Tamandua tetradactyla: one gene and its partners. The protein of the gene in region 1 interacts with the protein of each later gene in a biochemical or structural test. Links are inferred from orthologs where the notes say so. Each region holds a gene or a part of one and is shown on either strand. Other genes may lie near its edges.

The links.
Region 2: the proteins of HSP90AA1 (region 1) and PPP5C form a complex in vitro, tested with the Homo sapiens proteins (4 studies listed by BioGRID, with this or other methods). The link is inferred for Tamandua tetradactyla from reciprocal best matches to the Homo sapiens genes HSP90AA1 and PPP5C.
Region 3: the proteins of HSP90AA1 (region 1) and STIP1 form a complex in vitro, tested with the Homo sapiens proteins (9 studies listed by BioGRID). The link is inferred for Tamandua tetradactyla from reciprocal best matches to the Homo sapiens genes HSP90AA1 and STIP1.
Region 4: the proteins of HSP90AA1 (region 1) and PTGES3 form a complex in vitro, tested with the Homo sapiens proteins (10 studies listed by BioGRID). The link is inferred for Tamandua tetradactyla from reciprocal best matches to the Homo sapiens genes HSP90AA1 and PTGES3.

The regions. Positions count from the first base shown.
Region 1 is NC_135338.1:63,505,289-63,513,137, forward strand, and holds the start of HSP90AA1 (heat shock protein HSP 90-alpha), read right to left. Parts: upstream 3,006-7,849; 5' UTR 2,863-3,005; intron 2,233-2,862; coding exon 2,071-2,232; intron 1,997-2,070; coding exon 1,630-1,996; intron 1,384-1,629; coding exon 1,250-1,383; intron 945-1,249; coding exon 630-944; intron 417-629; coding exon 251-416; intron 148-250; coding exon 1-147. UniProt on the Homo sapiens protein: Molecular chaperone that promotes the maturation, structural maintenance and proper regulation of specific target proteins involved for instance in cell cycle control and signal transduction.
Region 2 is NC_135342.1:14,870,026-14,877,940, forward strand, and holds the start of PPP5C (serine/threonine-protein phosphatase 5), read right to left. Parts: upstream 3,017-7,915; 5' UTR 2,956-3,016; coding exon 2,835-2,955; intron 1-2,834. UniProt on the Homo sapiens protein: Serine/threonine-protein phosphatase that dephosphorylates a myriad of proteins involved in different signaling pathways including the kinases CSNK1E, ASK1/MAP3K5, PRKDC and RAF1, the nuclear receptors NR3C1, PPARG, ESR1 and ESR2, SMAD proteins and TAU/MAPT.
Region 3 is NC_135335.1:10,451,067-10,458,490, reverse strand, and holds the start of STIP1 (stress-induced-phosphoprotein 1), read left to right. Parts: upstream 1-4,407; 5' UTR 4,408-4,521; coding exon of another isoform or gene 4,522-4,530; intron 4,531-6,752; 5' UTR 6,753-6,811; coding exon 6,812-6,853; intron 6,854-7,424. UniProt on the Homo sapiens protein: Acts as a co-chaperone for HSP90AA1. Mediates the association of the molecular chaperones HSPA8/HSC70 and HSP90.
Region 4 is NC_135333.1:123,760,008-123,766,838, reverse strand, and holds the start of PTGES3 (prostaglandin E synthase 3), read left to right. Parts: upstream 1-3,816; 5' UTR 3,817-4,453; coding exon 4,454-4,509; intron 4,510-6,831. UniProt on the Homo sapiens protein: Cytosolic prostaglandin synthase that catalyzes the oxidoreduction of prostaglandin endoperoxide H2 (PGH2) to prostaglandin E2 (PGE2).

The DNA of each region.
Region 1 (7,849 bases):
CTTTATCTTCTGCCAGTTCAGTGAAGAGCTCTAAGCACTTTTTGACCAAATTCTTTCTGATAACTTTCAAAATTTTACTTTGTTGCAACATTTCACGAGAAATATTTAGAGGAAGATCCTCAGAGTCCACCACACCTCTAATGAAATCTGAAAAAACATAGACCAAATGCCTTCAAGATATACCACCCAAAGACAAAAATTGTTTAGTATAGACACCCAAAGAAACATAAACTAACCCAGCCACACTTACTCAGATATTCAGGGATCAGCTCCTCACAGTTATCCATAATGAAAACCCTGCGAACATACAACTTAATGTTGTTCTTTTTCTTCCTGTTTTCAAACAGGTCAAAAGGAGCACGTCTTGGGACAAAGAGAAGGGCTCTGAATTCTAACTGTCCTTCAACTGAAAAATGCTGGGGGAAAAAAGAACAAAACACTAAACACCAAGAGACAGTGAAAGCAGCTTTTACTGAACACTTTAACTGACAGATAAGTACTTGCAGTCACACAACTTAAAGCACTAAGACATAAAAGAAAAAAGCCCACACCACCTACCCTCTGATTTAACCATTTGAGACCAATTACCTGGCTGAGGCATGATAGTTCTGGAAGCACTCAATGCTCACCTTCACTGCCAAGTGGTCTTCCCAGTCGTTGGTCAAGCTCTTATAGAATTCTCCATATTCTTCATTAGTAATATCGTCAGGATTTCTGGTCCAGATGGGTTTTGTTTTGTTAAGTTCTTCTTGATCAATATATTTTTCCTTGATCTTCTTTTTCTTTTTTTTGTCACCATCCTTCTTTTCTTCTTCTTCATCATCAGAACCAACATCCTCTATTTCTGGCTTATCATCAGACTCCTTTTCTTCTTTTTCTTCCTCTTTTTCTTCCTTTTCTTCAGCCTCATCATCACTTACTTCTTTATCACGTTCTTTCTCCACCTGGTTAAAAAAATTACGTGAAATACTCTGCTTCCTAAGACTAAAACAGGCTAAGAGTACTTATATCATAATCTAAGTCAACCACGCAGAGAAACCTGTAAGGAAACTTTACAGCAACAAATTATTTCAGCCTTACTTCTGTATACAGAATTAAGGTCAGAGGAACCCAGCTCCAAACAGGCTTCAGACCAGCATTAATAAACCCTTTAAATTTGGGTCTTCCTTAGTTAAGCCTAAAGACTTCAAGTTCAGCTAATTACATACAGGCGTCCACTACGCAGTTTGCAGTTTATGTACAAACTTACAAAAAGAGTAATTGGATAGCCAATAAACTGAGAATGTTTTTTCACTATCTCCTTTATTCTTCTTTCCTCCAAATACTCAGTTTGGTCTTCTTTCAGATGCAGAATAACCTTTGTTCCACGACCCATGGGTTCACCTTAAAGGAAAAGAATACAACTTTCAGATATAGTTAAGGTTAAAAAAAATACCCATTTGGCTCAAGGTCACCTAAGAGGTCCTTGCCAGCACTTTCTGAACCAGTCCCTAATAGGCAGGGTTTACCCCCTCTCATAAGGCTGAGCAGCAGCACGCTCGGCTCCTGCACCTGCTTACATCTCTATTGGCTCTCACTTTCTCAAGACTTTCAGCACCACCCCCCCCCACCCCACCCTTAGATGCTCACCTGTGTCGGTCCTAACAGTGAAGGAGCCTCCCGCCGATGACTCCCAGGCATACTGTTCATCGTCATTGTGCTTGGTGATAACCGTCACCTTCTCCGCCACTAGGTAGGCAGAATAGAAACCCACGCCGAATTGGCCAATCATGGAGATATCGGCACCAGCCTGCAGCGCCTCCATGAACGCCTTGGTGCCCGACTTGGCGATGGTGCCCAAATTGTTGATCAGGTCAGCCTTAGTCATCCCGATGCCGGTATCCACGATGGTGAGCGTCCGGTCTTGCTTGTTGGGGATAAGATTGATGTGCAGCTCCTTCCCGGAATCCAGCTTGCTGGGGTCGGTCAAGCTCTCATATCGGATTTTGTCCAGAGCCTATACGCAAGAATACACCCGTCAAGCCCACGGCCGGGTCCTCACCCACACCCGACCCTGGAACACAGACTTACGTCCGACGAGTTTGAGATAAGCTCCCTCAGAAAGATCTCTTTGTTAGAATAGAAAGTGTTGATGATCAAAGACATCAACTGGGCGATCTCGGCCTGGAAGGCGAACGTCTCCACCTCCTCCTCCTCCATGGGCTGGTCTTGGGTCTGGGTCTCTTCGGGCATCTGCGGAAGGCAGCGCGCGCTCAGGCCGCGGCGTGGCGCGTAGCCGCGCCTCGGGGTCCGGAGCACCCGTCCGGTATTTTTAGAAACCCGCCCCAGGGAAGAGAAAAATTTAAGGAAACCGAAAATAGCCAGCGGGCTGACAAAGGGATGACCTCATTTAGCGCGGCGATAATCGCAGGGGCGCGCACACCCCGCCAGGAGACGTCGCGGGTTCAGTGCGCCTCTATCGCGCCCCGCCAACGGGGGCGCCCCCTTTCCCCGCCACGCCGCCATAACGCCCCCCCCCACCCCCCCGCCGCCACCCGCGTCCGCGAGCTGGGACCGAAACCGGGAGCCGTCTGCCCGGAGAGTCCTCGGCGCTAAGGCGTTTCTGCCCGCGCATAGAACCCATCCCCCACCGCCTCGGCAGAATATCCCGGGAGACCAAGGGGCGTCCGGAACCCGTTTCTGGGGAGGCCGCGGCAGGCCCGAAGCCTCCGGAAGGGAGACGGGGGCCGCCCCCACACTCATAGGCCGAGAACCGCGGAAAGGTGCTGGGGGCTGAGTCTGGTGCCCCCGGCCGCGCCTCCCCGCTCATTCCCAGACACCAGCACCCTCCCGTGCCAGAAGAGACCCCCAAGTTCCCCTTACCTTGGCGATAGGAACACGCAGTTACCACACCGCAGCAACCCCTGGACGCTGAAGCAACTGGCGCGCCACCCCCGCGCCTCCCTTATATAGACGCGGGCCCGCCCAGCGCGCGGCGCCTTTTCCAGAAGCCTCCCGAACCTTCCGGAAGAACCCTCCCCAACTGCCGCCGCGACCGCGCGCCTGCGCCTGCGCCCTGGCCGCGTCCCGCCCCGAGCCGAGAATGGCCTAGGCGTCCCGCCCCGCCTCGCTGCGCGCTCTCGCGTCGCCTTCTGCGCCTGCGCGGCCCGGAATTCTCGGGAAGGTCTCTGCGCTTCCGGCGCCACCGACCCCCGCCCACCCTCTTTCCTCAGGCTGGTCCCGGTTGTGTGTATCCCTGCCACCCGTGCCCTGGCCCTGGGGTCTCGGTGGGCCCCTGGGTTGTGCCCCCAGCTCGGCGAGGGTACTGGGGGCCCGGAAAATAGTGCACGTGGCCGAGTTGCTGTGAAATTTGCAGTGATTTCTTGATTCTTAGGCAGTGTGCCCTCCCTGATGGCGTAAGCGTCTGCTCAACGCTTGGGCTGCGACTTAGGGGTCCAGGGTCGCGTGTAGAGGTCCAGAGCAGCAGTTAGAGGGTTGGTGTCGTGTTTAGGGTTCCGGGACACGGATTGGGGGGTTGGGGCAGCATTTAGGTGACCCAGGCAGTGATTAGGGGGTTGGGGTTATGTTTAGGGTTCTGGGACATGGATTGAGGGTTCTTCCGTGCCTGCCCTCTCCACTGTCAACTTTCGTTTTGCATGGGGGTGGGGGGCTGGGGCTCGTGACGCAGACTAGTGCGTTTGAGGCGTGTAGGGTCGGTCCGTGACGGGGTGCGGATGAAGGGTCACTAGTGAAAGGTTTAGGAGGCGAAAGGGTGAGAAGAAAGAAAGGTACACTAGGAAATTTAAAGTGGGGGGGGGTGGGTGGGTATTTCTGCGCTCCCAGGCAGAACTCACCAAACCCAAGATGGAGGGAGGTGAGTGCGCGTGTGGGCTTTGGCACAGGCAGCTTTTAAGGTTTGAGGTCAGGTCACTTCTGGAAGGGGAAGGTCATTAGTTCCAGAAGTCAGGCTGAGAGGGGTGACACAGCCTCTGCAGCTCCGATTGCAGTGCCCTTCACGGTTCCCCTGACCTAACATTCCAACCTTTTTGTGATAATAGGGTGCTGAGATCTTTCTGGCTACTTACTGCTGTAATGGGGCGGCGTGGGGTTATAGGCTGGAACCGTCATGGCCAGGGGAGCGGGGAGGCTGGCTGTAGGAATTTGGTGAGGAAGGCAGGTGATGATAATGATGCAGGAGCATTTGGTTGACTTCTACTGGGGATAGTTCCTTCATGCACCCCTGAAGGAAGTTGAGGAGGCAGGGAGCTAGGAGAAAAAAGAGACAGATTAGGATAACTGGTCCTAGTAGTGGGAGGAGTCATGTCACCAGAGGAGAAGAAATCCAGCTTAAGGCAGAGTTGGTTCCTTGTTTTCTGTGGTAGAGATCGTCTCTTAGTTTGTTTAGGGTTTGAATATTTTGTTTCACCAGACCTGACTCGTTGATGTAATAGCAGCATTCCTCTTGGAGGAATATACACGTTCCTCCTTTATCAGCTGTCAGCAGGTCTAAGGCCCGTCGATTTTGAAGAGTTACCTGGGCTAATGAGGTGAGTTGGCGTTGTAGAGAGGAGAGGGATTCTGATGTCAATTCCAGGGCTACCTGTAGTCGAGTTTCAAAGTTTTGAGAGGTTAAAATATCATGTCCCAGAGCCCCTCCTGCTGTGGCTGAGGCTGCAACTGAAGTGGTTAGGCTGATGCCTACTAGGATAGGAAGAAAGGCAGCCCTTTTTGAGCGAGGAGAGGGCAGTAACCAAGTTAGTTCGGACTCCCCATAGAGGGTTAATTGAGGAACAATAGTTACCAGGAAGCATGGTCCTGGGGCAGTGGAGTTAAGGCATGTGGTAAGAGTTCCATTACACCAGAAATATTGTCCTTTGGGGGCATGGGTGGTGTTGTGGATAGTGGTGTTAGTCCGGCACTTGCTATGAAGTTCTTTTTGAGGGTTTTTTATCCAATGTAGTGAGGCTCTTAATTTGGCAAGAAGATCTCGCCTCATTAATGGGCTGGGGCAAGAAGGCATTACTAAGAAAGAGTGTGTAATGGGGTACCCTTCTATTAAATACGTTAGCAGTCCAGTAGTTAAGGGGCACAAAGGACGGCCGTCTATGCCCATAACGGTGACCTGGGAAGGAAGGAGTTGACCTGAGTAAGAGGGAAGGTAGCCCTTGTGTCCACTAAAAAGGAGGTGGACTTACCTGCTACGTTGATTGTTACCCTGGGCTCAATGAGGGTGATTGGGGTCACTGAGGCCGGGTGTTGTCAGTCATTGGTGGCCAGGCCCAGGACTGCTAGCTGTGGGTTAGGGGTTGGAAGGACAGCCCCTTCACGGCCAGGCACCGAGGAGCAGTCACTTTTCCAGTGTCCCTTTTTACCACGGAGAGGGCATGGTCCCTTGGGCAGTCGAGGATTGGGGCACTGGCGGAACCACTGTCCATCGAGGCCACATTTGAAGCACTTTCCTTGTGGTGGATTAGTCGTAGCTGGCTTCTTCTCCGTTGAAGTGGGCCGCAGAGCCGCAGTCAGGGATTGGGTTTGTAAATTCGCCTTTGGGCGGTCCCGGGATTCCTTTTCTGCCCTCTCCAATTCATCACGAGTATTAAAAATTTTAAAGGCCGTGTTTACCAGGTCACGGATAGGGGCCTGAGGGCCTTCCTCAATTTTTCTAAGTTTACGCCTTATATCTTGAGCCGATTGGGATATAAAGTGTGTGACTAAAACAGTTTTACCAGCCTCCAAGTCGGGGTCTAGGCGGGTATATTGGGAGAGGGCTTCTGTGAGCTGGTGTAGAAAAGCGGCCGGGTTTTCATCAGGACCCTGGGTAATTTCCCTTAGCTTATGGAAGTTTACTACTTTATGTGAAGCTTTCTGCTTGCTGGCTATGAGGCATGTAAGCATTTTGTCCCGTCTAGTCTGCCCGTTCCTCCCCGCTGGAGTGTCATCCTGATATTCCCACCCTGGCTCCTGGTCTGGCACGGCCTAGGCCCCTACCGGCATGGTGTGGTAGGTTATATGCACCTGGTTAGCGTGGGCCCTGGCTGCATTGAAAATGCAGTCCATTTCATCTGTAGTGAGGGAAGAAGAGCAGATTATATGAATGTCATGCCAAGTGAGGTCATAAGCATTAGCTAGATACTGGAACTGTTTAGTATAGGTAGTTGGATCGTTGGAGAAGGAACCCAACCATTTTTCAATGTGTGAAAGATTGGCCAGAGAGAAGGGAGTGTGTACCTGAATTAATCCTTCAGGTCCTGCAACCTCCTGGAGGGGACAGAGTAAAGTACTTTTTGAGCGGGTATGGGAGCTTACAGGTGAGGGTAGCGAGGAACTAGCTGGTGGCAGAAGAGCCGAAGCAGGGGGTGGGGGTCATGCCGGTAATGGGAGAGCCTTTGGAGTAGAAGGAGGAAGGGAAGGATAGGATGGTGGCTGGAATGTTGCTGGAGCAGGGGTAGGAAGAGGGGGGTAAGATGGTGGCTGGAGCGCCACCAGTGGAGGAGGAAGACGAAGGCAAGATGGCAGCGGGAGTGCCGCCGGTGCGGAAGGGGAGAGTGGAGGGAAAGATAGCGGCTGGGACGTCACTGGAACAGAAGGAGGAAGAGAAGGAGAAGATGGCAACTGAGATGTCACTGAAGCAGAAGGGGGGAGGGAAAGGCAAGATGGCGACTGGAGCGCTGCTGGAGGGAGGGGAGGGTAGAGCGAGGGAGAGGAGGTTAGTTTCGCAAGATGCAGTGGTGGCCCTGGTCTTTTAAAGGAAGATGAATCGAGGGGGTCAGAAAAGGAGGAAGTTTCTTCTGAGAGAAGTGGGGATTTGGGAGTTTCCTTGGCTAGGAGAACATGAGCTATAGAGCAGGAGGTACAAAGGGAGGGGCGGGAGCGCAGAAGGAAAAAAGCCTGGACATAAGGAATTTCGGCCCATTTGTCATTCCTCTGGCAAAAGTTGCGGAGGTTCGTAAGGATATTAAAATCGAAAGTCCCATCCTCAGGCCAATGAGAATCATTATCCAATTGATATTGGGGCCAAGCCTTTTTACAAAAGTAAGTGAGGCATTTTGGCCGATTGTCTGGAAGTAAATCCAGTATGGATAGGTTAGTCAGGAGACAACCCAGAAGAGTATGAGGTTTGGTTTTTGAGGATTTATTGCCCATACTGACGGGTCTCAAAAGAGAAAGGACTAGCCCAGGGGGTGTCAGCGTCCCAACGCCCTGAGAGAGTCCTAGGAACTCTTACGAGCAGGGGCTTGTCTCCCCAGGGGACGTCTCACCCTGGTTTGAGGCCCTTTCAGGTCCTGGACCTGAATTTGGGAGGGAAACGAGAAGCGGGGCGTCCCCACAGCTTTTCGAGTCCCAGAAAGAGGGTATGAGGCTTGCGGGTGTCCCCGTTCACCTCAGCCCTCGGAAGAGAACCTGACGTGAATTCACAATTTTCGGAGAGTAATTAACGGACAGGCTCTCTCGGAACCGGAACCATGAGACCCGGCAGCAGGGCTAGGAGGGGAGGGACTTACCCAATCTGTGGTGGATGCAGTGGTGGGCCGAAGGATCCCTTGTCTCTGGCTTTGTGGAGGAAGGAGGAGAGAGGAAGCCCGGGCACCTCTGGCCAGGCAGGCGGCACCTGCGCTCCTCTCCCGGGTTTCAGGCACCAGATGAAAGGTTTAGGAGGCAAAAAGGTGAGAAAGAAGAAAGGTACACCAGGAAATTTAAAGTGTGTGTATGGGTGGGGGGGGGGTTTATTTCTGTGCTCCCAGGCGGAACTCACCAAACGCAAGATGGAGGGAGGTGAGTGCGCATGTGGGCTTTGGCACAGGCAGCTTTTAAGGATGGAGGTCAGGTGACGTCTGGAAGGGGTAGGTCATTAGTTCCGGAAGTCAAGCTG
Region 2 (7,915 bases), on another chromosome or scaffold:
CCCCAAGGAGGATTAAACAAAGCGATGTACCTGGCGCTGCAGGGGCTCAATTAAAGTAAGCTGTAATTATTCTTTTTTATTGTTATTGTTATTCCCACAGTCCGGGAAGCAGGGACTGGTGCATGCCCTTGCCTGCCAGGCAGGAGGCGGTTCTCCTCCATGCCAGCTCAATGCCAGGTACCTCTGGCCTGCCCAGTCCCAGGGCTCCTGACAGCTGGATCCCAGATCCTGGGGGGGGGGGGGGGGGGGAAGGGGGGGGCAAGGTGCCCCTGCTGTTTCCCACAATTCCTAGGTAACCTCAGCATCAACTCCATACCCACTACTCCTCCCATGTCCCGTTTCAGGGATGAACCCACTTTCCACTGCATCGCCAAGCTGGAGACGGGGCCTCGTCCCAACCCCTCATACCCAAAGACTGGTTGTCACCATGTCTGGTCGAATCAGCCTCCTGAACGTCTCTCAAACCCACTCACTCACTTCCAACACCTCTGCCCTGCCCTAGTCTGGACTCTCTCCTCTCCTGCTCAGGTTCCTGCCCCAGCCTCCTTTTTGCCCTCCCAATTTCCAGACCTGCTCCCTCCACATGGCAGCTAGAGAGATCTTTCTAAAGCACAAGGCTGACCCTGTCCTTCCTCTGCCCAGACACCTGCCATGGCTCCCCAGGACCCCCAGCAGAAAGCTCAGGCTCCTCTTTAAGACTCAGCAACCTCACCAAGAACTACTACCCCTCCTACACTCCAGCCCCCTCACCTCCCAGTGCCAGGCTCTGCTCACCTTTGGGCCTTTACCACCCGGTTCCTTCTGCCTGGAGGGCCACTCTCCTTTCCTCTGAAACACTTGAATCAGTTTCCAGGTCTTCCCCTTTGCCCCCCTGATCTGTGTACCACCTCGCTCATATGCCCTCCTGGCCTCCTGATTTTGTCTTACCCATGTATTCATTCTCTGCAAAGCAGTAGGGGGCCTTTTTCAAATGCTCTTTTCAAACCATGTTGCTCCTCTGCTGAAAAACGTTCCAGTGCTCCCCATGCCTTCAGGATGATATCCACAACCCCAGACCCACCAGTTCCACCAGTCCCACCTCCCTTTCATTGTTCCAGCCTGACAAAACCTCCACAGACCTAGAATTTGTTTCTGTGCTCATGAGAGGCCAAGTCCTCCACTAGAGTTCTAGATCTCCCCTTACTACCTTTCAGTTGCTTGACTGCTGGAAGTCTCCCCTCTGAAATGGATCATAGTCTCTTCCATCCTTAAAAAAAGCAGACTCCCTTAATTCCACCTTTTTCTCCTGCTCGATTTCTCCACTCGCCCTCAGAACCAAAATACTTGAACACTTGCCAACATTTCTTGTCTCCACTTCCTCAGCTCCCATTACTCTTCAGTGCCCTCCTAGCTAGATGCCACCCTACCATTCCCCAGAAATTGCCCTTGTCAAGGTCACCACCAATGTCCACGGAGCCAAAACTCATGGTCAAAACTGAAGGTCAAAACCTTGGCAGCATCCAACCTAGGGCACCAGCCCCTCCTTCTGGAAGCATTCTCTTCTCAACTCTTAGCCTCCCTGACATTTCTTTCCTGGTTTTCCTTCCGCTTCACTGGCCACTCCTTCTCAGCCTCCCTCTCACTCTCAGTATCAGAGTTCCCTGGGTTTGGTTCTAGGCCCCTTATCTTCTCAGACCCTCCTTTTTAAGCGACCTCATTCATTCTCAATCACATAGATTGTGCTCAAATTCCTCCTCAGCCCAACCCTCCAGATTGGCCAATCTACATTCTCAATGTCTCCTTTTTGATAGCTAAGTAAAATTCAAGCTAGTCTTTGCAATGATTTACAAGAATCTGCATGATCTAGACCCTAGCTTAACCTCATCTCACATCAGCCTCCCCCCTAAACTTGCTAAAGCCCCTTGCTACACTAGTCTGTCATTTCTCACCTCAGGACCTTTGCACATGCTGCTCCAGCCACCTGGAACAATTCTTTCCATTTCTCCTCTCCAAGTTTCAACTCAAATGCTGCCTTCTCAGTAAGACCTTCCCTGACCACCCTGAGTAACCACCCTTATTCTCTACTTCAGCACCTTGTTGGTTTTCTTTCAAAGCACTTATCACAATTCACAACTATTTTACTTATTTGCATGTTTACTCAATGTCTGATTCTCCTGTTAAATCATAAGCTGCACAAGGACAGGGTTACATCGGTCTCAACTGCAGTTCTTTCCCCAGAGTCCAGCATAGTCCTTGGCACACGGCAGGTGCTCAATATATCTCTTTCCTAAGATCATAAATCATACTATCGTTGGGGTCCCTACTCTCAGGGGACCCAACTCCCCTTTCCTTGAGTCACCAAATCTATTTCTCTGCCCACTTACTACCTATTCCCCGCCCCCCACTTCCTTCCTTTATTGGGACCAATCACCCTGTCCCGCCTTGGTGGCAGCCAACCTCCTTTTTCCACTCGGTAGCGCCATCACTCACCCGGCACATGTCAGCGCTTGGTAGCGCCCTCTTCAGGTATCACCATCAGGTAGCACTTTTCAAAGGCTCACCATCTGGTAGCGCCCTTATTCGCTCTCCCGCCCCACACTTGGCAGCGCCCGCCTTAGTCCCCCCACTAAGTATCACCCGCTTTGTACACCACATCTTGGCATTACCCTCTCCCTCAAAAGCCCCCTACGTCGCCCCTTGGTAGCACCCATACTGGGCCTCCCTACTCCTGTCCACTTGGTAGCGCCTGCCCGCGCCGCGGCTCCGCTCCGCGTTGCCATGGTTCCGCGCGGGCCGGGTAGCCCTCCGCCTGGGCCGCTCTCCACCCTAACTTGCCCCCTCCGGAGCGGGCGCACCTTTGAAGTAGTCGTTGGCTTGCGTCTTGAGGTCCTCTGCCCGCTTCAGAGCACCATCAGCCGGGGGCTCGTCCCGGGGGGGATCAGCACACTCAGTCCGCTCACCCTCCGCCATCGCCATGCCGCAAAGCGACCCCCACCTTGGCAACGGCCGCTAGCGGCACCCGGCTGAACCGTCGCGAAGGAGAGCCGAGTTGCCGCCGCCGCCGCCGCACAAGTGTCGTAAAGCGCGGGCCCCGAAGGCGCCCTTCGCGCGCCTGCGCAGAACCCTGTCGCCTATGAGCGAGCCGAGGATTAGGCGAGCAAAGGGTTCCCAGACAGCGCCCTTCCTAGAATGAGCCAATAGGGAAGATGAAAAGGGGCGGGCGGGGAAAAGGCCCACCTTGGCCCCTATTCCTGAAGTTACCGTGCTCCGAAGCCCTAAAAGTTCCTCGGGTCTAAAAGTGGAATTTTCCCTCCATCCCCTCGCGTTGGTGGGTGGGTTGTAAATGCCAACGTGGAGCTGCAGTCCGGCCTTACCGCCAGTTACCTGCGTGACCCTGAGCAAACACTCCTCACCTTTCTCCGGCCTCGGTTACCCTTCTGAAAAGTGGGCGGTTACTCAAAGAAAGAAAGCTCTAACCCTGAGGGTCCGTCTTTTAAAATTGTGAACTGAGGACGCCTGGAGCCTCATGCCCGGCAAGGTTCAGAGGTTTGGCCAACCGTTTCCTTTCTCCTCCCTATATATTCAGCTTCCCAAATCCTGCTGAATCTTCAGAATGATTCTCTTCTCTTTGCCTCTTCTCTTGCCTGGATCGCCGCCTCTGCTGCTTACATTCAGCTTTCAGTTTACCCTCCATAACGCAGGGAGGGGTATTTGCTACAACATGACCGTCATCGTGTTACACACACCATCCCTAGCCTTCCACGGCTCCCCAGTGCCTTAGGAGAAAACCCAAATTCTTTCTGCTCTCCTAGGAGACCCTGAATAGTCTAGATTCGGGCAATATCTCCAGATCCCAATCCACTGGGCACAATGCATACCTTTCTGGTCCATTCTTTCCAAGCCTCTGGCTTCTATTCATACCAAATCCTTAGCATCGACTCTTTTAAGGCTTAGCTCTGGCTCCCATGCAGGAAGCACAAGATATTCCAACCCCAAACCTTCTTTTTCGGCCTGTCAGTCTGACCCCAACCCTCTCACTGCCCCCACCCCAACCCCCACCCCAGCCAACAGACACCCTCGAGAGTAGATACTAGTATCGTCTCTGTTTTTACTGAGGTTCTCAGAGAGGTCATCGCACTTGCCCAAGGTCACACAGCTAGGAAGCAGCAGTCAGGATTTGAATCTGTTCCACCTGATTCCGGTGCTCTTTATTCCTATTCTACTGTCTAGGCTCCAGAACGCTAGAACCTGCCTCTTGGCTTGTGGAGTTTTGTTTTTGTTTTTTTAAATTTTTTTTTGTGGGGAGAGGAGAGGGTTCCTATATTTGAATCCAATTCATCCATTTTCCTGCTGTGTGACCTTGGGCAAGTGTTCACTCTCTCTGAGGAATTTATCCTCTAAAATGGGGCCTATTTATAGAGTTAGGAGAGGGTTCAACGAGATCACATGAATAAAGCATTTGGCAGAGGGCCTGATACAGAGTAAGTACTTTTCATATTCACCCAGTTAAAAATATTCAGAGTGAGGCAGGGTGCTTGGTGCTGTGTTGTAGGAGGGTGGTCCTCAGAGGTCTGTGGAAAACCAGAGGACATTGCTCAGTTGAGGCAGGCAAGGAAGGCTTCCTGGAGGCGGGGGTGTCTGAATTAAGGTCTGAAGTAGAAGTAGGAGACAATCAAGTGAGGGAAGGGCGTTGAGGCAGAGGGGACTGCAAGTGTAAAGGCTGAAAACTGGTTTTCTTCCTTTAAAAAGCTTCTGATATGAAACAAAGGAGAGGAATTATGGGGGCAGTTTGTAGAGACGTGACAAAACAGAAACACCCATCCACACATGATTCTGTGGACACACAATCACTCTTTTTTATCCACACACAAGGACAGAGAATCGTGTCACACAGATACACATTGGTATACAGGATTACAGCGTTATACAGTCCCACACATGTCTACACAGAATCACGACATCATATAGACACATACAGCTACAAAAACATCACAACTCTGCCACTCAGGAACACAGAAATTTGAATGTAGTAGCTTGAATTACATACTCTAGAAAAAAAAAAAGCTTAATCTCAACCCCATTCCTGTGGGTGTGAATCCATTGTAAATAGGACCATTGAAGATGTTATTTTTAGTTTAGGACGGTCTTAATCCTATAACTAGAGGCATTACTGCAGGGTCCTGAAAATAGATGGTAATTAATATTTTAAAATTTCAACTTATGTGTGAGACTGAAGCAAAAAATGTTTATTTGGTACTATATATATATATCTTTTTTTTTTTTTTTTTACGTGGGCAGGGACCAGGAAACAAACCTGGGTCCTCTGGCATGGCAGGCGAGAACTCTGCCTACTGAGCCATCGTGGCCCACCCCAAAATTTATATTTTGATTAGTGCATTTCCTAATATAACTTATATAGACAGCTTGGTTGAATACCATAAGTACATGAAACCTTGGGTAGGACATGAGATTTTGTTGGTTTGTCCAGAGTGATGCCCTGATGAATCCCAGAGTGATTTGATCAGTGAGTGGAAAAGTATCTGCAAAGTCCCCTTCGGGGAACGGTGAGCACGAGGGAAAATTCAACTTCCCCAAGTTGAATACTTGATATTCTCACAAGCAGTGTGGACAACCAAAGCTATAGGCTGAGCCCCCAGTCTTGGGGTTTGTTCATGTGAAATTTAACCCCACAAAGGATAGGTCAAGCCTACTTAAAATTAGGCTAAGAGTCACCTCCAAGAGAACCTCTTTTGTTGCTCAGATGTGGCCTCTCTCTCCAGCCCACACAACAAGCAAACTCACCACCCTCCCCATCTACATAGGACATCACTCCCAGGGGTGTGGACCTTTCTGGCAATGTGGGACAGAAACCCCAGAATGCGCTGAGACTCAGCATCAAGGGATTGAGAAAACCTTCTCGACCAAAAAGGGGAAGAGTGAAATGAGACAAAGTGTCAATGGCCGAAAGATTCCAAACAGAGTTGAGAGGTTATCCTGGAGGTCATTCTTACGCATTAAATAGATATCACCTTGTTATTCAAGATGTAATGGAGAGGCTGGAGGGAACTGCCTGAAAATGTAGAGCTGTGTTCCAGTAGCCATGTTTCTTGAAAATGATTGTATAATGTTATAGCTTTCACATTGTGACTGTGTGATTGTGAAAACCTTGTGTCTGAGGCTCCTTTTATCTACCTTGTCAACAGATAAGTAGAACATATGGAATAAAAATAAATAATAGGCAGAACAAATGTTAAAATAAATTTAGAAAAAAAATACTGAGTATATTGCCAACTTTTAAGCATTGAAAAACTCACTATAAAAATAATAAATAAATAAATAATAGGGGGAACAAATGTTAAATTTATTTGAAATGCTAGTGATCAATGGGGGGTAAGGGATATGGTATGTATAATCTTTTTTTCTGTTTTCGTTTTATTTTTCTGTTGTCTTTTTATTTTTTTCTGAATTGATGCAAATGTTCTAAGAAATTATCATGATGATGAAAATGCAGCTATGTGATGATATTGTGAATTACTGATTATATCTGTAGAACAGAATGATCATAAAAAAAAAAAAAGCCGCATGGAAGAAGCAGGAACTTAGAGGAACCCAGAAGAGAAAGCAGTGGACATCGCTATGTGATGAGAAAGCCAAGGAACCCAAGGATTGCCTGCCTGCCAAAACACTACTGACATCAGGAGGAAGCAAGCCTTCCAGCCTCCAAAACCATGCGACAATAAATTCTCGTTGTTTGAGCCAACCCATGTGGTATTTGTTAAAGCAGCTGGCACACAAATGTAACCAGAAACACATGTAAGGCAGAATCACTTCACCAGAATATTAACACACACATGTAGGAAGAGTTACAACACACACACACACACACTCAAAGAATTATGTCACATACACACACGTACACACAGATGACATCACCAAGCACACACCAGATACAGAGGAACACATATTCACACACAGGTGTCCAGTGAGTCACCCACTGCACCCACACCTTGAAGCGATCCCACAGATGAGTCGACACACAGAGCTCTTGTGCCTACCGAGGCAAGGTCTTTATGGTAAAATGGAATTTAGTGGGCTTTAGAGTCAGCTGTGGCTGCTCCAGACCCTTCCCCTCCCCCAGGCCGGCACAGCTCCCTCCACTGAATGACCCAGATCACCCGAGGGAAGGAGGGGTCAGATCCTTCTCCTCCACATAGCACCAATCTGGGTAGGCCACCCCCTGACAAAATGCAGTGGGCAGCGCCTTCCAAACAGGAGGTGAACTGTGCTGAGAGAGGGGAGCCTTTTCCTGGGTAAGTCCAAGAGTAGCACCTTCATAGAAAGGGGCTTGGGGGTAAAGGGGATACATAGGTGGTGGCAGAGAGCTGAGACTCCTGGCCTCTCTCCCTACCCTGCAATATGCAGACAGGTTGTGCGTGGCCCTGTGCAGCTAGAGAAGTCTCCTGGATGTGAACCCCATAAGGGGGGGTGAGGGAGCCCCAGATACCCAGACGTTGGGATAAAGAAAAGGCAAGCGCATGTCTGGAGGCCTGGGATGGGGAGTCCAGGGGGTTCTAGATCAGAGAAATTTCAGGGAAATGAGATTGAGAATAGAGAGATTTGGGCTTGAAGTCTATGTGCCAAGAGCCCTGGATATAGGGATCTGGAATGGGAAGACATAGGACTGAGGGCAGGAATTGGGGAGTGTTGAGTGGGATGAGAAGCCCAGAATTGAGTTAGGAGGGTGAGGGTAGAGGCTGGAACCAGGCAATAAGAGTTGTGAGATTTGGGACCAAAGGAACTTACAGAATGTGGCCTAGACTCTAGAATCAGAAGCATTTGGAGGCTGAGTTTTAGAGCTGAAAGGATTTAGATCTGAAATCAGAAGGAACTGGAGATTGTATGGTCCAGGACTGGTGAATTTTATAAGGTGAGAACT
Region 3 (7,424 bases), on another chromosome or scaffold:
TGTAACAGCAACAGATGAGATTCACGTACCATTGGCTCATGTCCACAGCAACAGAAATAGGTGCCTTCACCTGGCCAAGTTGACAACTTAACCTAACTATCACAGTGGCATCTTCTCTTTCTCTTCTGGGTTCCATTGGCTTCCAGCTTCTGGCTGCTGTGGTTTCTCTCTGTGTGACCTTCCCTATTAGGCTACTGGTAGCTAATCCTGATTCAGTTGGACCACACTTTAATTGAAGTAATCTCATCAAAAAGTCCTATTTATAATGGGTTCTGTCATGGTCAGTTTCATGTGTCAACTTGGCCAGGTGTTGGTACCTGTTTGTCTGGTTGGGCAAGTGCTGGCCTGTCTGTTGCAATGAGGACATTTCATAGAATTAAATCATGATCACGTCAGCTGCATCCACAACTGATTCCATTTGTAATCAGCCAAGGGGAGTGTCTTCTGCAATGAGTGGTGTTTCATCTAATCATTGGAACCGTTTAAGGAAGATGCAGAAGAGACAGGCTCTCTTCCTGCTTTGGTTGGCGAGCCTCTCCTGTGGAGTTCGGCAGACCCTCCATCGGAATTGTCAGCTTCACAGCCTGTCTTGCGGATTATAAACTCTATGTTCCCACAGTTACATGAGACACTTTTATGAATTTTATATTTACAAATATTTCCTGTGGATTCTGTTTCTCTAGAGAACCCTAATACAGGTTCAGACCCACAGGAATAGATTAAGATGAAGAACATGTTTTTCTGGAGAACACAACTCCAAGCCACCACAGCCTTAAATAAGCATATGAAAAAGATGCTCAACACCATGAGCTATTAGGGAAATGCAAATCAAAATCACAATGAGAGACCATTGCATACCGACTAGACAGGCTATTATTAAAATAAAAAATTTTTTTGGTTTATTTGGTTTTATTTATAGTAAATAAACAAATTAAAAACAGACTTTGTCTGTGTTATTGGACAAAGGCCATGGAGTCTTCTGCCCGTCGTGCTCAGAAACCGATTTTTTTTTTATTAATTTTTTTAAAAATTCCAAAAACACCAAACAAATGCAAACATTCTTAACTTATGATCATTCCAGTCTACATATATAATCAGTAATTCACAATATCATCACATAGTTGCATATTCATCATCATGATCATTTCTTGGAACATTTGCATCTATTCAGAAAAAGAAATAAAAAGAAAAAAATTCATATATAACATACCTCCCACCCCTTCCCCTTACCGATCACCAGTATTTCACTCTAAAATTATATTAAAATAATTTTTAAAAAGGCAGAAAATAGCAAGTATTTATGAGGATGCAGAGAAATCAGAACCTTCCTGCATTGTTGATAGGAATGTAAAATGGTGCAGCCACTGTAGAAAAGTTTGACAATTCCTCAGAAAGTTAAGTATGGAATTATGACCTGGCAATCCCACTTCTAGGCATATACTCCCAAAGAACTGAAGACAGGGAATGAGATATCCATACACCAATATTCGTTGTTATTCACAAAAGCCAAAAGGTGGAAGCAATCGGAGTCCAGCAGTGGATGAATGCATAAATAAAATGTAGTATACACATACAATGGAATATTATTCAGCCATAAAAAGGAATGAAGTTCTGATACAACACAGATGAATCTTGAAGACATCATGTTGAGTGAAATAAGCCAGTCATAAGAAGACAAATGTATGATCTCACTTATATGAAATAACCAGGAATATGCAAATTCAGAGACAGAAAGTGGATTACAGGGTATCAGTAATGGGGCTGGGGAATGGGGAGTTAACACATAATGGGGTAATGGATCTTTTGCTGATGGATGGAAGTGATAGTAGCACAACTGGTGTGAATGTATTAACACCACTGAATTGCATACTTGAAAGTGGTTAAAATAGGAAATGTTACGTTGCATATGTGCTACCACAAAATAAAATAATTATCCTAGCAGAGGGATAATTCAAGGAAAGAGTGAAGGAACCAGCCTAATTCAAGGAACAGAACCATCAGTGCGCTTGGGGCTTGAGGTTGAACAAAGCAAAGAAGAGGTGGGAAAAATAGGAGACCTTCAAGTTTAGATAAACCTTGATGCCATCCTAAAGCCTCCAAGAGATGTACTGTCACGTTGGTTGAAGTATGGAGAACGGATAAGAGGCCGGCTGAGATGCAAGAAGCTGTAGAGTCAAGCTACTAGCATACGGGGGGCTTAAAACCCTGGGAAGGGATGGCATAACCCAAGGAGGGAAAAGAATGAAAATATGGCAGGGCTCCAGACCTTCACTCCAGCCCTCGGTCATGCCATGCTTCGTTCCATGACCCATATGCTGACGGGGGAAGCAAAAGCAGTCTCCCAGAAAGGTAGAAATATTCAACTTCCGCATTTAGAGAATTCCTGATATCCTTGCAAGCAATGGGGACAACCAAATCAATAGGCTGAGCCCTCGATCTTGGAGTTCACCCCTGTGAAACTTATTCCTACAAAGGACAGGCTAAGCCTACTTAAAATTAGGCCTAAGAGTCACCCTCAAAGATCCTCTTTTGTTGCTCAGATGTGGCCTCTCTCTAAGCCAACAGGACAAGCAAACTCACTGCCTCCCTCTCTCTACGTAGGACATGACTCCCAGGGGTGTAAACCGCTCTGGCAACATGGGACAGAAATCCTGGGATGAGCTAGAACTCGGCATCAAGGTATTGAGAAAACCTTCTTGACCAAAAGGGGGAAGAGAGAAACGAGACAAATCAATCGGCTGCTGAGAGATTTCAGAGTGGAGAGTTTATCCTGGAGATTATTCTTATGCATTACATAAATATCCCTTTTTAGTTTATGGTGTATTAGAGTGACTGGAGGGAAGTGCCTGAAACTGTAGAGCTGTGTTCCAGTAGCCTTGTTTCTTAAAGATGATTGTATAATGATAAAGTTTTTACAATGTGACTGTGTGATTGTGAAAACCTTCTGTCTGATGCTCCTTTTATCTAGGGGATGGACAGATGAGTAAAAAATATGGACAAAAAATAAGTAATGGGGGAACAATTGTTAAAATATATTGAGTACATTGAAATACTAGTGGCCAATGAGAGGGAGTGGTAAGGGGTAGGTATGGTAGGTTTGAGTTTTTTCCTTTTTCTTTCTTTTGCTGGAGAGAAGCAAATGTTCAAAAAATTGATCATGGTGATGAATACACAACCATATGATGATATTGTGAGCCACTGATTACACTCCACGTATAGAACGTTTCTATGTTAAAGTCTGACGATAACAAATATTTTTTTTAATAAAATAAAAGCAGCTTTCCAACCATCAAATAAGGGTCCTGCAGGCCCATCTCTTCCACACTCTAAGCCCTTTAGCCTCTCTCCGGGTGCCCACCCTCCCTCTCCCTTTCGAGACTGGGATTTAAGGCCGTACAGGCCCTCACTGGCCAGGAGGCAGTCACGGAACTCATTCTTGTGTTTGGGTCCTTCACACCTTTACATCGGACTGGAGACAGCACCGTTTCGTTAAGTACTTCCCGCGTGCACGGATCCTCCCAGGGCCCTAGATGACCGAACCCTTTACCCGAGAAGTTCAGAGAGGGTGTGCGGCTCCAGCAAGGACACCCAGCAGGCCTACGGGAACCGCCAGGGTGAGAGGTTCGGGTGTGTCCGGACCCAAGCCCCGGGGCGCTTCACCGCCACGCCGGACTTTCGGGGCACTCAGAACCTAACAATCTGGGATCCCCGGAAGGGCCAGTGCCCGGGGCCGAAGAGCTGGACAAGCGGGCACATGGCAGCCAGGGAGAAAGAATCGCCGGCGCCTCTCCCGCGGCGGACCCGGATCGTCAGCCCCATTAGCCTAGACCCCAAGCCCGACGCACAGACAGAAAGGCCCTCGACCGTGGGTTCTCGGTGGGAACCCACTGTAGAGAGAAGCGGGCCGGGCCGGGAGGCTCCGATGGCCCGCGAAGCCCACAGTCATCGCCTGCCCAGCGACAGAAGGCGACAGCGGTCTCCGACTCCGAAAAGCCACCAGACAGCCGAAACCAGAACTACCCTGTGATGGACAGCAACTTAAACCTATCAACGCAAGGTGCTGGCAATCCTCCGCCCAATTAAAATGTTTTTTACTTTGAAGGCGGGTGCGTCCCGGGCTCCAGAAAGAACGGAACCAATGGGAGCTCCTGGCGTGGTCGCGATTGGCGAACCATACGACCAATCGCTGTCGCGGAAACGTGCCCCTCCTTCGATCGCTAAGCCTTAAAATGGGAGGGGCTTTCGAGGAGAGGCCAATCCCGAGACGCGGAGGAGGCAGGCTGAGGAGATTACGCTCCAACTGCCCAATGAGTGGAAACGAAGATGATGGGCGGAACTTCAAGCCAATAGTGGAGGAGCGCAGGGAGCTCCCCGCCCCTCGGAGGAGTTGGACCAGTGAGCAGCCAAGGAAGGGGCGGGAGCCGGGGGTCCCGGCAGCTTCTAGTAGGTTCCAGAAGGCGGCGCGTGCGGTTGGGAACGCGGAGCGGACGGATTCGATTCAACCGGGTTCCGGGCCGGGCTATGGAGCAGGTGAAGGGGGAGGGGCGAGTTGAGGCCTGGGGGTCGCTCGGGGTTTAGCCGAGCCACGGGAGGAGGGACGCGGCGGGCGGTCCTGGCCGGGCCAAGCAGTGGCGTTGAGGAGCGGGCGGCGGCGGCGGGGAAGAGAGGGCGTGAGGGCTGCGGGCGCCGGGCCGGACGGGGGGGATGGTGCGAGGCCCTGTCCACTCCTGGCCGTGGGCAGGGCCGGGTCCCCTCCGCTCTCATCGCCCCCCGACTCGGCGGCGGGAAAAGGGGTCGTAGCCAGGCCCGGGAGGCCTGCGGGAGGTGGCTGTAGGCTAAGCGGGGGGGAGGGGAGGGGAGGTGGCCGCGGCGGCGGGACTGGGGGTGGAGGCGGGCGAGGGACCTCGGGAGGCGGGAAGGAGCGGCGCCAATCTCGGGGGATGCGCGATCCGGGAGCCCCGAGGCTGCCGACGGGGACGCCACCCAGCCCTTGGCCATGATGAACTTGGGGGACCGAGGGAGCGGAGACGGAGATCAGTTGAAAGTAGTTGGGGAGCTTCTCAAACTGGGACCCAGTTGGAGAAAAATGGAGCCTCTCAGAAGACCCTGGTGGGGGGAGTGTTGAGCGAAGGCCTGGGTAGCAGCGAACCGACTTTGCCTGATGCAGGAAAGGGGAGGGTGCAGCAAAAGTCCTTGGAACGAGTTTCAGATTTACTGTTGTTGCACGAATGTGCATGTGGCCCCTCCTCCCCCCCACGTTGTTTTGTGATTCTCGAGTGATTGATTGAGGACTGACACTTGAAACGTCGGTTTCTGGTTAGACAAGGAGGAATTCGTTGCGCTAGGAAATTTAGACCCTATCGATGAGCCAGAAGTCAAAGATTTGCTTTTGCCCAGCATTTTTGGGGGGGGTGGAATTCCAAGCTGTGGCTGCTTTCCGTAAAGGTGGTTATGTCCTCAGTGGTCTGTAGGTCGTGAGAGGTTGTGAGGTTTGTTTTAGTTGGAAGCTGTCATTGAAGGATAATGATTGGTGAAGAAAAAGAAAGCTGAACTCCCTTTTCCTTCGTTTTTTTTTTTTTTGTCTTTGATCAACAAAGGTGAACACTAATATGCCCCAGTTTATCTTTAGCCATACCTGGAGCCACTTTGTCAAACTAAAAATAAAAGTGTGAAGATGGGGAAGTCCGTAAACTTTTTGCTTCCTTGGGATAACTAGATTGTGTCAGGAATTAATCGACTTTGGTATAGGCAAGAAAAAATAGAAAAGGTCGCTTCCTGTCCTTACCAAGTTCGAAATGGATTGTTTGACTAAACTGAGGGCTGCAAACTTAAATGGTAAACGTCCTTACCAGTAATGAACCTGATATTTTAACTCTAGGTGTGTTAGAACCTGCAGTCTTGAAGCTATTCCTGAAAACCTTGTGACCTCTCTGCCTTTGTTTCCAATTTCAGTTCTGTGAAATACATACTTCCATTTGGGAAACAATCAGATTGACCTAGTTTGTGTTGAAAGTTGTATTTTCTTTATAGGCACTTTTCAGATCCCAGAGTGATACACTTTTTTTACATTTGACCTAATGCTGATCTATAACTGTTTACCATGACACTGTTAATACTTATTGTTACATGTACTGCGTGCTGGTATTTTTTACTGGACCTTTTAAAATGCTGGTCATGACCTACAAAATTGATTTCCTGGCCCACTGCAGGTGGCTACTCAGTTTGTAAAATGCTGTTTCATAGGATAAGCTAGAACTTAAGGTGTTCTTCAGCTGTCTCTTTTTTTTTTTTTTTTTTCACATGGGCAGGCACCCGGAACTTCAGCTGTCTCTTAATATCAGTTGAGTTTTTGTAACTTCTTGCCTTCTAACCTTCATCCTGGGTCCTAAAAGTTTCATCTCTTGCTTGCTAAATGTGGCAGTCTCCCACCCTCTCTCCTTCTCCCTTGACTCTCTAGAATCTCTCTAGGTGATGGAGTCTCAATTGGTATGCGTCAGAGGTTCCAAAATATAACAGAATTCTTTTTGGCAGCACCTTACTCCAGTCACAGTGGTTGAAGCAAAGAAAGTACAGCAATTGAGTAGTTTGAATGACAGCTTGATCTCACCAAATGTGTTTGCATTTTTAAGAGAGCTTTTGGGGTGTGGCATCTTATTCCAGTGTGTTTGAGAGGATAGGGGACCATTTTCCTTTACTAGTCTACTTAAAACAAATACCAGGTGGGCTAGCTTTTAACGATGGGAATGTATTAGCTTACAAACTTACAGTTTTGAGGCCGTGAAAATATCCAAATCAAGACATCATCAAGGGGATGCTTTCTGCGAGACCCTGGAGTCGTCTGTTACATAGCAAGGTACCTGGCAGCACCTGCTGGTCTCTTCCTCCTCTGCTCCTCTGGGTTTCCTTAATTTCAGTTTCTTGCTTCTATGGCTTTCTTTTTCCCTCCTCTCCCTCCTCTTTCTCTTTCTCTCTGTCTCTTATTTATTCCATTTATGAAGGACTCCAGTAAGCAGATTAAGACCTGTCCTGAATGAGGTGGGTTTCACCTTAAAGTAGCTTCATGAAAATATCCTACATAAATTGGGTCCCCACCCATAGGAATGGATTAACTTTAAGAACATACTTTCAGGGGTGCATACAGTTTCAAACCACCACAGGAACTAAACCACTGAAGTGTTTCTTTATCTTCCCCACACCTTTATAATAATTTTTTTTAAATGGGGCAAGAACCAAGTCATTTGGCGGGGTGGGGGGGGGTAGCTAGCTTTCCTTTATCCATTAAGAAACAGCATTAATTTACCATATGGTGACATATGACCACACCAGTAAATAGAAGAAAGTTCTTTTCTGGTATGAGGAAACAATTGCGTGCCACAGGGTGGGCATCTTTTTGCTCCAGAGGAAGGGAAAACTTCCCTTGCCAT
Region 4 (6,831 bases), on another chromosome or scaffold:
CTGGGCAGAGAATCCAGAAGCTATCTGCGATGATTTTATTTAGCTAGGTCATTGTCACATCAGGTTCATTTGTTAACTTGGTCAGGTGGTGGTACCCGATTGTCTGGTCAGGCAAGTGCTGACCTGTCTGTTGCTATGAGGACATTTCATGGACTTAAATCATGATCATGTTGGCTGCATCCACAGCTGATTACATTAGCTAAGGGAGCGTCTTCTGTGATGAGTGACATTTAATTTAATCACCAGAAGGCTTTTAAGGATTCAGAAGAGACACTCTACCTGCTTCAGCCAGGGACCTTCTGCCATGCACTTCGTCCACACCCTTCATCAAGTTGCCAGCTTCACAGCCTGCCCTGCAGACTATGAACTCTTCCATTACCACAGTTGTCCAGCCAACGTCTCCTGAAAGTTCGTTGACGACTGTCATCGTAGTTGCCAGCTTGCAGCTTACCCTACAGACCTTGGATCTTTACATTCCCAAGGTTGCCCAGGCAGCCTCTCCTGAGAGTTCGCTGAGGACCTTCATCAGAGTTGCCAGCTTATAGCCCTACAGACCTTGGATTCTACATTCCCAAGGCTATGTGAAACACTTTTATCAATTTCATATCTACAGATATCTCCTACTGATTCTGTTTCTCTACAGAACCCTAGCTAATACAGTCATGATGTCTCCTTTAAGCTTCATGGCCAATTTCCTTTTTCCTATATCCAAAAGAGATTCTTACCACTTTACCCCTTTCCCCTTTATATGACATATATAGATAACTTCCAAGGTCTTATTAGAAAATTCATACAACTAGACTGTGTTCATTATCTGATTTAATTTTTAAAATGTTTAATTGCTCATGTCAACATACAAAATTCTCTTTTGCTACTAGTGACTCTGGGCACATATTTAAATTCAGTTCTTAGAAAAATATCACAGAGAACTTGCTATGATAATTGACAAAATGTCTCTGCAATCCTTTGGCATATGTATTTTTTTAACTGACCTGACAATTTCTTCTCTTAGGAGACTGTTAGGATTAAATTTATGAGGTGGCATCTACTACTCACCACGTATTTTCTAGTTTCTGTTAATCCAGGTTGCAGATTTATTAAACACCCTGACACTGTAACTATACATGTTTGAATCTACATTTTGCCCCATACTAGAAATAGAACTATTAGTGAATTTGAAAATGAACCTGGTATAACTCAGGTCCCCACCTACTAATGGTTGGGATAACATCTAAGGGCTTGAATAAGCCTAATTACAAAGTATTTGTGAAACTTCTGGTAGAAAAGCTATTTCCAGAAGAACACTAAAATAAAACCCCTTGAAATATGTTTAGTGAGGAATAACTAAGGAAGTAAATAAACTAATGGGGGAGGGGAATAGCTGTAAATGAACCATGAATTAGGATACAAAAAAAAAAAAGGTAGTTTTCCCCGTAGCACTCTCTACCCTGTCTTTTGACAAGGGAAATTGCCAGAAATTTGGGTTGGAGTCTTCTATCTCTAATTCAGTTCTTTCATTTTCAGTTCATCTTATACTTTGTTACCAATTAATCTTTACAAATCTAGGACACAAGAGTGCTGCTCCCCGACTCAAAGAAACTTTAATAGCTTCCAAATGTGAGAGAGACAAGTTGCAATTATCCCGATATTCAGCATCACCATTATTTGGTTCTGACTATCTTCTTAACCATATCCTGAACTATTCCCTTACATTCTCAACTACCTAGGTCAGGGTTCTGCAAATTACAACCTGTACACGAAATCTAACACATTCACCAGATTTTTTATGTGCAGAATCTTAGTCTGTGAGCTAACAATGGTGTTTACATTTTTAATTGGTTGAAAAAAATTAAAATATCTTCTGATGTGAAAATTATAAGAAATTCAAATTTCAGTACCTTTAAATACTTTTATTGGAACATAACCATCCTTGTTTGTTTACATATTGTCTGTTTGTCTCATGCTGTAATAGCAGAGTTCAGAAGGTGCAACAAAAACAGCCAGCATGATTTCATCTGGCCATTTACAGAAAAAGTTTGCTGACCACTGACTTAGAAATACTTCTGTTTCTGTCTCTTCACCAATATTCCTGCCTGAATATACTAATCCGACTTATTCCTGCTGTCACCTCTATGAGGCTGTCAAAATAGAATTTTCAAAAAACTAAAAAACACGATTCTCTCACAAACATATAATTAACATAAACCAAATATCTCACTCACGAATGGAACCAGTAAAATGGCAAATAACATTTGGTTATTCACAGGCATAAAAATGAAAGAATTAGAATAAGATTGCTGGGTCAAACAAACCCGCTTAGTGTCCTTCAGAGCAATAAAACTGTAACTTTGGGATTAGTCTTCCAATAAAAAATCTACAAGTTAGTATGTAACTTCACGATGTCTGAGTTCTAATTATATAATAAATAGCAAAGACAAACATAGGTTCGTTCTCCTGTCTCCTGATAGACAGGTTAAACAATGTCCCAGTGTAAACTGAAAGGCTATCCCTCGGTGCAATGCCTTATTTCCAGGTTCTGGGTAATTTTTCTGAACAAAACCTACCCTCATTCTTCCAGCCCAAATAGACCTCTCCTCCTTTCAAGCTCCCATACTTTTTGTATTTCCATTATGGTATTCAATAATCATTATTTTGTCTTTCGAACAGGCAGCAGGCCCCTGAATCAGAGTAACAGCTGGGATTTAATCGCCCTTTAAAATGAAACTAGATAGGGTTCTATGTCCACAGTTCATGATATCTATCTTGCACAAATATAGACATCAAATATCTTATTGCTGAATATGAAACCCCCAAACACTCCCTCTGGACATCTTACAGCACTTTTCTTAAAACTCCTTTGGGTGCTCAGTAGCGGTGTATCGCTTTTGTTTCCCCCTCATTCTACCGTTTAAGTGTCCTCCTAGTGGGCAGGGCCCATTCTGATCTCTTGGTTAGCCCCCATTAGAGCACAACCCAGTGCCTGGCACAAAGCAGTTGCCCAAGAGATAACGGTTGAAGCAGACTGAAAGCCTCCCACCCCAAATTCACACACACACTGATGTGTCTGAAGTCTCTCCATTCTCTGACACCTGGCTAAACTCTCCCCTCAAACAACCTGTCTGGCCTATTAGTATCTCAAGAATAACCAATCCCCCCTTTCACGTCACAAGCCTCCAGAAAAATCTTCGTCCCTCGGCCTCAGCTTTCCTTCCACTATCCAACACAGCCGTTTCTCAGGGGAAGACGCCCAAGGAACAACGCCGAGTGCCTATAAACCCAACGGTTTTCTACCGGAGCGCGGAACAAGAGGCGGGAAGAAGCCGGCGCAGGCCGGAAAAGGGCGAAGGGCGGCGCCAGCCTCGGGAAAGATCGCGAAGGAGCTGGGAAGCTCCGCCCTTTCCGTAGATATCTCTAGAAAGCCGCGCGGGAGCCCGAAAACAAGGACTGCGCACGCGCGGCGGCAGGGCCCGGGCATTTTGCTGCGTCACCAGCCGCCGCCTGGCCTCACCACCCCTCGTTCTCACGCACGCACGTTCGTTCTCCGTCCTCGCGCCCCTTTTCTTACGCTTTCCTCTTCTCTCCGAGCCGCGGAGCCGCTCTCTCTGCGCGGTGCATTCTGGGGACCCAGGCCGAGCCCGCCGCCTGTGCCGTCGCCTGAGGGAAGCGTGAAGAGGCCACGACCGGGGAGAAAGCGCCGGAGTCGCGGCCGGAGAGGAGTCGACTCCCAGCAACTGCCGCCGGAGAGGCCCGCCCCCTGACCCGTTCACAATGTGAGTGCGCTATCCCATCGTGGGGAAGTCGGCCTTAGGGAGACCGAGGCCGCTCTGGGGACTCCTGGGCTGTGGGGAAACCTTGCCCTCCCCACCCCTCCCCCCGCCTTCGGCGCTCTCCGTTTTCTCTTTTCACTGGTGGCGGTTGTTACTATCTGGTGGTGGGAGGTCTGTGGTCTTGTTCGGTTACCGTTGGTGGACGGAGGACATTTTTCCTCCACATACCCGCTTCCCTCACCTCTAAACTGTCCCTCGTTTTCCCCATGCCGGAAATCCCGCTTTTCCCCCTTTGGTGGTCTGAGTTATGCGTAACCGTTCATAACTCGTCCTAACTTAGCTTTAGGCCTTAGGCCTTAATCTCCTTTGAGCCTTTTGCCATGCGGGCGCCTTGGAGGCATTTGACCCTCGTGGATTGCCACTTCGGTTCTCCGTCAGTCTGGTTCTGCCACTCTGTGTTGGGACCAGGCCCTGGGCCAAGTGCACCTGTGGTGGGTGCCACCAGAAGACTGATGGTGCAAGATCCTAGAGCCTTACGCGGCCCAAGGCCGTGAGCGACAGTTACTGCTAGGCAACGAGAGGGAGGCCATGCCGTCACCACAACTTTTTTTTTTTACCCTCTGAAGTGCCTTGATTTCTTGAGTATAGGTCCTTTCAGGCCTCTAAACTCAAGTATCTTGAAGGAAATGAAGGCTGCTAAAGCTCAGTCGTGTCCTGGCACCGAGGAGTTACCACTGAACAGGTAGTTTTGCACGTGTCGAACCTAGAGATACTTGTGGACATTGTGTTCCATATTAAACTGTAGGTGAGGTATCATTCATCTTAATTTAGAATAAAATAGGTACATAACTGTCTTGTGGTCTTAAGGTGTTCAAATTCTGTTTATGAGGAGGATTCTGTTGCCATCTTTTTCTTTTATGGTAAAGGAAAACTTTGGTGATCTTAACGTAATAAAAGCTCTTGACCTTTCCACCTTAAATCTATGTAAAATAGGTTTTGCTTATCCCTTTGAAATTTCTAAATAATTGTCAATATGGACTGTAGAGTACTAGTAGTGCTAAAGTTAATGTGGACTTTTTTTTTCTATCTTAATTGGATTCAGGGGGATATATTAACTGCTCAAAATGTTTATGTAATTGACAGCTGTAGGCTTTATATTCTTGTTGAAATCGTCCCATTACTCCCTTTTAAGTTTCCCCATTTGATAGTTGTTAGGTAAAGAGATTTTTTCATTTAATACTTTGAAAGTCTCTACTCTGAAAGTAGAAGAAAAAATGAATTGTCAGATAAAGCAGTACCAACTTTTAATGTGTATTAGAGCAATGTAGAGTATTAATATAGGGGAAGTACCATGTTTGAAATAGAAACACTTTTCGGAGGTCACTTTTTGGAGGTTAAAATAGGTAAGAAATGTTAAACTATGTAAAGGGTAAAATTGGGATGCCAAGTGTAGCAATCAGTATTCCAAAAAGCAGTCTGACTATATTTAAAGAATGCTGCCTTTAAAGTGAATTTTCTGTGAAGAAACCAGATAAATCTCATCCTCTTTTAAAATGTTAGACATGTGCTGTCTTGTAAATTCTTCAGGGGATCTTAAGAAAATCTGAGTCATTTATTTGAGTTGGAGAAGACTTTTAATGGATCATTTAGTCCTAGGAAAAATTGGCTGATAAGGGTTCCTCTTGGTGATGTCTATTTAAAACATTGTTTTAATGCTGCTTTTCTGTTGATTTGTTTTTTGTGCTGGATGTCTTGAAGGTTTGGGGTTGTGTTTTTTTCAAGTTTGGAAACTCTGTTAGTGATTTCTTAGTTAAATTTGTCTAGTAGCCTACATAGAAGTTTCCATCTCTCTCCTACCTTGGAGAAGGCTGGGATCTTAAGACCTCCTTACCCATTTAAAACCTCCCCAAAGCTAAACTTGCGCTGTGGTACTTTGCATTCTCTTTTAAATTAGCTATTATAGTTGGTTGCTATTGGATCCTAACAAGAGAAGAAAGTAAAATATTTTATTTAGTTTTATTTGAGGTATTTGAAGGGTCATTCTTTCTGTGCCTTGTTGAAATCATCCCATTAATTTATTATTTAAATTAATAAATTTTTGGAAACATAAAATGACCATCTTGAACATTGATTTAAAATCTTACTTTGCTGTTCCTTAGCTTTGTAGGTTTGAATCTCCAAAGATATCAAACCTCCAAAGCAAATTGTCATAGTGAGCATATGGTTTACCACTAATTTCTATTTAAAATGAGTAATTGGTAAGTTAGGGAAGATGATAGCCTTTGTTCAGTGTTGATTTTCTAACCACTGTAACCTGGCAGCTGAATTTCCTTTTTTTTTATTATGCTCAGTTAGCCTTTAACTAGAAGGCATTAGAAATCACTTGAGTTTAGGCTAGTATTATATTCGAAATTTAGAGTTTCCTATTAAATTATTCTCGGTTTAAAAATTCTGAGGCTATATCATTTTGGGGTCTTATGTGGTTAATGATTGTGCCCTTCAGGGATGGGAGGTGCTTTTTTTATTGAGATATATTTACAAACCATCTGAAGTATACAATTACTGGCTCACAGTATCATCACATAGTTGTGCATACTAGAACATTCTCATTACTTCAGAAAAAAAATAAAAAGAAAACCCAAACCGTCCCATATTCCTTATTCACCCCTATTGATCCTTAGTTTTTGATATAGTATATTTGTTATTGTTGGTGAAAGAATATTAAACCATTACTATTAACTGTAGTCATAGTTTTCAGTAGGTACGTATTTTCCCATAAATCTCCTCTGTTAGCTCTTTATAATAATGTCATACATTTGTTCTAGTCCATGAAAGAATGGTTTTGTATTTGTACAGTTAATCACTGGCGTTGTCCACCACAGGATTCAGTGTGTTAAACATTCCCATGTTTTAACCTCCAGCTTTCCTTCTGGTGACATTTGGGAGATGCTTTTTTAATACCAGTTAGAATCAACTTAGCTCTTAAAAAACTTCAGATCATATTTTATCTGAGTTCTTAAATTGAGAATTGTTGCATCTGGTGTATTTTGCTGTTGAAATGCAG